Linked DNA regions of Yarrowia lipolytica. The main gene of each other region encodes a partner of the protein of the gene in region 2 in a complex. Links are inferred from orthologs where the notes say so. Each region holds a gene or a part of one and is shown on either strand. Other genes may lie near its edges.

What was found.
Region 1: the proteins of YALI1_F06670g (region 2) and YALI1_D35394g are in contact, whole or in part, in a cryo-EM structure (PDB 6V8O), measured with the Saccharomyces cerevisiae proteins. The link is inferred for Yarrowia lipolytica from reciprocal best matches to the Saccharomyces cerevisiae genes RSC8 and RSC58. Residues at the interface, in NP_116695.3 of Saccharomyces cerevisiae: Thr229, Asn233, Val234, Tyr235, Asp236, Gln239, Phe241, Ala243, Glu247, His255, Tyr258, Ile259, His261, Cys263, Glu266, Ser267, Ile268, Asn269, Val270, Arg271, Tyr272, His273, Asn274, Leu275, Arg276, Ala277, Arg278, Asp279, Ser284, Phe292; in NP_013133.1 of Saccharomyces cerevisiae: Arg137, Asp167, Leu172, Asp173, Ile176, Ser177, Tyr178, Asp179, Phe180, Ile181, Lys182, Ile183, Ser184, Met185, Asn186, Tyr187, Thr188, Val189, Pro190, Ile191, Leu232, Pro233, Thr235, Asp236, Ile237, Glu238, Glu240, Ile387, Ile388, Lys389.

The regions. Positions count from the first base shown.
Region 1 is NC_090773.1:3,537,309-3,541,220, forward strand, and holds YALI1_D35394g (uncharacterized protein), read right to left. Parts: upstream 2,070-3,912; coding exon 672-2,069; downstream 1-671. Other genes in the region: YALI1_D35356g (uncharacterized protein), read left to right, coding at 1-190; YALI1_D35398g (uncharacterized protein), read left to right, coding at 2,445-3,912. UniProt on the Saccharomyces cerevisiae protein: Component of the chromatin structure-remodeling complex (RSC), which is involved in transcription regulation and nucleosome positioning. RSC is responsible for the transfer of a histone octamer from a nucleosome core particle to naked DNA.
Region 2 is NC_090775.1:664,552-668,639, reverse strand, and holds YALI1_F06670g (uncharacterized protein), read left to right. Parts: upstream 1-1,565; coding exon 1,566-3,284; downstream 3,285-4,088.

The DNA.
Region 1 (3,912 bases), on a different chromosome or scaffold from region 2:
CAGCAATGGATACGGCATGGTCGAAGACGAGGCCTCTACTGACGACGAGTCCATCTGCATTCCCGAGTACGTCGACATGAGCAACTCAGCCACCACTCAGTTCATCGCCTACCTAGTGTTTGGTATGGTCTCTGCTCTTAACTTGTTTTTGATCATCTCTATTGCCATGGGTGCTGACGTTCCTCTATAACGGAGTTGATCACTTTTATTATAATATATGAATGAGTAACAACGAGATATAGCTACGAGTAGTACCGTAGCGTGATTCGTATACAGAGATGACAGTGGAGCTCATGGCTGTACAAAAGCGTTGTGCGCTTCCTTAAACCAGTTATTTCGACATTAAATGCTCCTTACACACATCCACTTCTTAACATACGTATTAGTCTAGTTACAGCATTGTAATAGAGCCAACTTGAGAAGCGTGTAGAATCAACTACTTAATTTACATACAACTACAAGTACGTACAAGTACAAGTACATACAGTACAGTATGTACTTGTGATGCTACCCGTCGATCTTGACCTATTCTAGCTGACAGCATTTAGATTGTTTCACACCCCGGAAAATTACTAAACATACATTATCCTAACTAATACAGGTCCTGGCAGCCCGTGCCAGGAGTCACGCCATGGCGTCTCCCCCAAATATCACCGTTCTATCTCACCCATCTACCGCTTAGCCCGTCGGGTCTTGGGACCAGAAGGTAGACGTCCGACGGAAGAAATGGGCTTTGGAGGTTCAGGGGCCGGCAAAACACCCAGATAGTTTGTTTTGAGAGCAGGGATGTTAGTGGAAGGCTTGATCTTGGAGTTAGCAATGTCGATGCCCTCGGTGGATTGCAGCAGCCGTCCCAACACACCCTCGATTTTCATTGCAAGCCGTCGCTCCTCAAACGACACTGGTGGAGGTATGTCAGGTGTGGCCAAACGGTCTGCCTGGAGTTGTTGCAGTTGGAGCATGAGTCTGCTGACAAACTCGAGCTCGGTGCCAGTTTTGATGGCTTCGAACTCGTCGTCGTCAATGAAGTTTCGAGGGTGCCATTGGAGAATGTCTTCCATGGGCAGATCCTTGGAGGGGTCGACATCTTCATCTCTAAACAGAGGCTGGAGGTCTTCCTCTTCCTCTCCCTGTCCCCCCTTCTCCTCTTCCTCTTCCTGTCCCTCCACCTTAGCCTCAGTCGCGTCATTCATCTCCACGTCGTTAGTATCCTCCTTTTTGGTGTCGTTCTTTCCAAGAGCGTCGTCGATGGCGCTTTCTCGCAGTCGCCCAACCTTCTCGTACCACAGAGCTCCGGTTGAAGCGGGGTCGTAGACGGCCTTACCACTGTCGCTAGTGGGGGCAAAGGACGAGTTTGCGTCCATCCGCAGGAACCGGCTGGGCGCCAACTCGGAGCCGTTGGGGTGCACAAAGTGCGTCATCATCTCTGTCGGAGGCAGGGCTGGGTGTGGAAGTCGCGACACGGCAGGTGTGAGGTAGCCCAGTTGGTAGGCCGGAACCGACCGGGTACGTGGCAGTACGTTGGTTACCTGGAACGCGCCCGGGGTTATACTTGGGCGCGGGTCGATGGCCGATTTGGTGGACAACGTCGAAAACAGAGGTCCATTCTGGCCCATGACCAGAAACGATTCTGCGCTCCACGACTCCAAGTCCGCAGTCAAGTCGGCGTAGTCGGCCACGATTTCCTCCTCGAACTCCGTCACGTCCTCGGGTACCACATCCTCGGGGTCCTTGCCTCCAAACAGGTCCATCCGCGAGCCTTCTCGGATGATGAGGGCTGCGGCAAACTTGAAGAACCGGTCCACCTCCAGATACTTCTCCGAGCCAATTGGCAGCGCCACCAGAGCCTGGACGGCTGCGGTCTTGACGTCCACGTACAAGTTGCGCACCGAATCATACGCCTTCTCGGATACCGAGGTCAGATCAGCAACGTTGTGTTGGGCATAGCTTGCAAGCACCGACAGGTTTGTGGACTGAGGCGACACCTGGGGCACTGCCTTTGTGGAGAGCACAGTCTTTCCGACGGCGTCGGCTAGCAACACGTCCAAAATGTCTTGTATGAGCGACATGTTGTCTTTGTGTTGGTGTCTGGGTTCGATGAGATGTGTGGTGATTTTTGTTCGACGTGATGAACGTTCCGACGTGTGGGTGTTGACTAGAGTATGACAGAAACCATACTCCAAAAATTAGCTTCGTCATGTGACCCAGCCAAGAGACAGCGGTGTATGAGATGGCGGAGAAGAAGTGGAGTGGCTATATTAATTTCTGTAAATTTGTTTCGACGGCGAATAATCCACTTAGAATTGCTTTCAAATCTTTAAACCTATTCTAATGCCGCCTTGTATCGACGTCCTGCTTCTTCCGTTGTATGGCAAGCATGCATACAACACTCATCTCTTCATACTCTTATCTAGTACGGGTACGAGTACACATCTCAGCACACCATGGACGACTCGGACGACGACTACATTGAAAACATTAGTGGAGACGAGTACCAGGGTGCCCCTCGGCGGTCGCGACGAAACCAGGCCCCCAAGGGCGCCGGAGGCTCGGTGGAGAACATGAAGATGGCCAATGGAGGATACTCATGGGAAGACGAATACCATAGATCTTGGGACGTCGTGCAAGAGGACGAGGGAGGATCGCTGGCAGGCTCGGTGGCGGGTCTTGTGGAAGCAAGAAAGAAACGACACATCAAGGATGCAACTCCGTTCCAGAGAGGTATCATTCGAAACCTGATTTTGGTGCTCGACTTTTCGTTTGCCATGAAAGAGTCCGATCTCAGACCAAACAGGTACCAATTTGTCATTAACCATGCCATTGAATTCGTAACCAACTTCTTCGACCAGAATCCCATTTCTCAGCTCGGAATTCTGGGCATGAGAAACGGACAGGCAATCAGCATATCGACATTGGGCAGTAACCCCAACGACCACATTAACGCCCTGACGGCAGCCAAAAAGCTCGAGCCTCAAGGTGATCCATCTCTTCAAAATGCTCTTGAAATGGCTCGAGGTCTGCTTTTCCATGTGCCTTCTCATTGCACTAAGGAGGTACTGGTTGTTCTGGGTGCCTTGTTGTCGGCTGACCCAGGAGATATCCACGTAACCATCGACAAGCTCGTTATTGACAAGGTCCGAGCCCGAGTCATTGGTCTGGCGGCGCAGGTGGCGATCTGCAAGGAACTGTGTGTCAAAACCAACTTTGGAGACGCTTCATACTATGGTGTCGTGCTGAACGAACAGCATTTCCAGGAGCTCATGGACGAGGCTACTACACCCTTGGCAGAGTCACAACAAAGCCAGAGCGCCAATCCAGCATCCCTGGTGCTCATGGGATTTCCTTCAAAGGTTTCAGAAGCAGCTCCCTCTCTTTCGGCCTCCGATGCAGCTCTCACACAAGGTGGATACGTCTGTCCGCAATGTAAGGTCAAGGTGTCTTCACTCCCCACAGTCTGCCCCTGCTGTGGTCTCACACTTATTCTGTCCACCCATCTGGCCAGATCGTATCACCATCTTTTCCCCCTGGCTCCATTTATTGAAGTCCCCTGCAAGAACGCACACAAGTCTGAATTCTGTGCAGGCTGTCAATCCAAGTTCCCAGTGGTGGCAAGAGATGCAAAAAACATCCAAGCCGATGGCTCCATGACGTCACGGTATGAGTGTCCCACCTGCCACTCTCATTTTTGCATCGACTGTGACGTCTTCTGCCACGAAATTCTACACAACTGCATTGGCTGCCAGGCACGCAGCTACTCTCTCTACCAGGTGGTGGTCACCAAACACAAGGATGCAGCTCCTTCTCTTAAGCTGGTGATGAAGCGGCCCGATCCAGACGGAGAGGAGAGCTCTAGACCAGTCAAGGTGAGGGTAGTTAATGATAACGAGGGTCCAGCTTGGAATGAAGGAGGAC
Region 2 (4,088 bases):
CAACAGTCGAGTGTTTGTACAGAATGTTGAGTGCCATTCAGCACAACCTGTATCCGGTTCACGATATCCATCTTGTGTCGCTTTGCAGGCAGTGCCCAAGTCGGGTCAGGTCATGGTTAATCACTGGTTTTCAGGTCATTGGTCGCAAGTCTCAATCCACTGTTCTCATTGGTTCGACCAGCTGAAGAACTGAGGACATGACTGGATAATACGTGGTCCATGCCTGTGTGTGGATGCCATGGTACATTCGTATCAGCTTCATCACCAGGCATTGTGGCTCTATTCTGCAAACGAAACGAACAAGTGCTCAAATACATGCAGGTGGACTCTGTTGTCCATTCGTATTCTTGCTGTTCATCAACGAAACATATCTTTCTTCTTCGGTTGACGCGGTTTCAACCTCTTCCAGCCATTCTATCAGACTACCATTGGGTGATACACTCGCTCTGGATTACTGGCCATAGATGTCTTCTTGTCGAGAGCAACTTGCGTCGAGAGCTATACATGCTTACAAGACACCTTTCATCACTCTGAGGCCCAAGCACTCTCGGTCTCCTGGCAAGATATCGTCTTCGGACGTGGATCTCGGTGCGAAGATGAGCGACAAGCATACATTTGGCTCAAAACTGGCTCAAAACTGGCTTGTAACTAACTCGGTTGCCCACGCAGCTGTGTTAGCTCTGTGCGGAAGTTACACCGATCATTTGAGGAGGACAAGTTGATGGTTTCCAACCCATAGGGACCGTGTCTATACTGTGCTGTATTCAGTTGCTCTAAGTACTCTCATGCTTGAATAGACCGAGTGACGTTTCCAAAGAGACGGTTTTAGACGGTTTTAGACGGCCTCAGACATGCACGAGGCGCCAGAGTCTCATTTCCACCCTCATGATGCGGTTTCACACAGTCTTTTCAACAATCACCCTGCTAGCAGCAACCCATTCTCTCTTCAAGGGGCTATTTCCAGACCAGCAAATCGTCGCCTTTTTGACCGAGTCTCCTCGTTGACGGACCTGCTCTGGAAACAACCCCTTCCCTTCCTTCTGCCGGCTCTCCTGAGCCCGAGTTTTCTTAGCCAGCTCCATAACGCTTGCCTGTCGCTGGTAGACGGATGATTCATAGTACAGTATTAATCAATGCATTCTTCAATCAGAGTGAGTAGTATGGAGAACGTCGCCCGAGAAGTTGCATTAGGGACATCAGAAGGGACATATCTGCCTGAAGACACATACCCTCACGTCAATCATGGTCACGCCAGTGCTCTCTAGTCGATTCGGAAGAAAAAGAGGAAAAAACACTGCAGCTTGGATCGCTCCTTGTATCGCTCAATTGAGTGACTGAAACCGTTCATCGAAAGGTCCAAGCAAGTGGCTATAGTCATAATCTGACTCCATTACGTACTCTCACGTGATCTTATCGTCAATAAATCACAATGATTTATCCCGGAATCGAACCCACAACCTCACCCACATCTCACCCTTCACTCCCGGGTAAAACCTAGTTGACACCTTCCTCCCACACCGTAGATTGGTGATATCACCTACAGCACGTTTCCAGCACAGTACAAAATGAGCGACAAGAGCGTAGAAGCCGGAGCGGACGCGGCCATGACCGACGTGAACGGCGATGGGTCGATTGGCGCCCAGACCGCCAAGATTGAGGCCAACGACGCCGATCTGAAGCCCGACAGCAGTGAGGTTGGAGGCGCGCACAACGACACGGCTCAAACAGCGACCAAGTCCGACAAGAAAGACGACACAAAGCCCAGCGACAAGGAGGAGTCCGTGGAGGGCGGCGGGGACGACGCGGGAGATGCGATTTCGGCCGAAGAGGCGAAGCTCGAGGAAAAGGCTCGGGCGTATCTGGCGGAACAAACACAACGGGTGGTGATTCCGTCGTTTGCCACGTGGTTCGACCGCAACGGCATCCACGACATTGAACGCAAGTCGCTGCCGGAGTTTTTCTCGGGCGTGTCGCGCACAAAGTCGCCGGCCATCTACACGCAGTACCGCAATTTCATGGTCGACACGTTCCGTCTGAACCCCGTCGAATACCTGACCTTCACCGCCTGCCGACGCAACCTCGCCGGCGACGTCGGCACCCTGCTGCGGGTCCACTCGTTTCTGGAACAGTGGGGCCTGATCAACTACCAGGTGGACCCCGACACCCGGCCGTCTCTGATGGGCCCCCAGTTTACGGGCCACTTTAAGGTGATGGTCGATGGCCCCCGGGGACTCCAGCCTTTTGAACCTCCGGCAAAGAGCCTGCTCTCCGAGGGCCAGGAGGACCCCGAAAAGGGAACCGACGGCGACTCCACCTACGTTGCGACCTCGACTGAGCTTGACGACTCCACTCCCCCCTCAATCAACATGGAGATTCGACGAAACATCTACTCGTCGGCCGCCGACGCCGCGTCGCTGCAGGACGAAAATACAAAGTCGCAGAACGTGCTCGCGTCCAAGGCGTACCACTGCCAGACCACCGGCGGTGACGTATCGGTGGTGCGGTACCACAACCTGCGGTCCAAGCAGGCGGTGGCGCAACTCGCGTTCGAACAGGGCCTGTTCCCGGCCACCCAGCAGGCGTCTGACTTTGTGCGCATCAAAAACTCGACGGCCCAGGGCCCCTGGACCGACGAGGAAACCCTCTTGCTTCTGGAAGGCGTGGAGATGTTTGAGGACGACTGGGACAGCATAAGCGACCATGTCGGCACCCGTCAGCGTGACGCCTGCGTCATCAAGTTCATCCAGATGCCCATTGAAGACGCATACCTGGTGAAGCGAGAAAAGGGCGTCAAGCGGGCCCATTCCGACTCCAACAAGTCCACGGTGCTGGCATCCGCCATCAAAAAGGTTCTCAAGGAAGGAGACGGAGAGCTAATGAGCAAGCGGGCGGAGGAGCTAGCTGGCCAGGCCGTCTCCGACGCCTCCACGCTCGTTTCGTCGCTGGCCGAAACCCAGATAGCCAAAATCGAGCTGAAAATGTCCCGGTTCGACCAGCTGGAGGAAACGGTGCGGCTGGAGCGCCAAGAGATTGAAAAGATGCGGCAGCAGCTGTACCTGGACCGTTTGTCGTTGAAGAAGCAGGCCGACAGTGTGTTGGCCAAGCTCAAGGAGGCGACCCAGCTTGGGGGCGACGAGGCGGTGGCGGTGGCAGCAGAGGCGGCTCGAATCGCCGCTCGCAACCCCAAGGTGAGCGTCGTTGAGGAGCGCGATGAGGGCGAGGTGCGAGAGAAGAAGCCGGTGTCATTGGGAGGACCTGAGTTGTTCAAGTTCTGGAGTGCCTAGACGGGCATTTCCTTAGGGGCTTGTCCAGAAGGCTTGTCCGGAAGAGTCTTGACGAGAGTGATCTTGTCGGGACGGTCCTCGTCGCATTTTCGTCTCGACACGACTTGGAATTGACAGCCTGCTCGACATACCCACAACCACCCTAACCCAAAGACGGAGATGTATGTATTTGTAATTGTATTGCTTAGTATGGATATAGATTGGTAACCACAACAGCATGGCCGGTTGTCGTGATCTCTTTGTCCCATTAAATCATCACCAACGTGGAGTGGTTTGGATGGACTTTGGACTACCTAAATTGACAATTCGGGATAATGCTACTTGTATGAGGATATGGAGTGTGTCATTGAAACTTGCGAGGCTCCAGCTTTCGATTGGTGCTGCTTTTATTGAAATCTGACCAATATTGAGAATTCATGATTTTCTAACGAGATACTTGAAAAAGCAGCAGTTTGAAAAGATCCAGAAGTAGTCGGTTTTTTACATACAAAAGCCCAGGAGTAGCTGTTTAGTTTTCTGCGGATTACTAAGTAATTAGTCATCACAACTCCGCTGTACTGGGTCCCTGGCTGGACCTGGCAACGCCCCAATGTACACTACCGAATACGACTACCGAATACGACTACCGAATACGCTTCGCAAAGACGAAAAACGCACATCCAGATGCCTACAAGTAGTCGGATCAGAAGTAGGAGCTACAAGGAATCATTCGCATCAGGGTGAAACCATATTGCTGCTTCATATCGATGAGACCAGCCGGTTTCATGATTGCCACTGAAACGGTTTCCTAACGGAAATAAATTT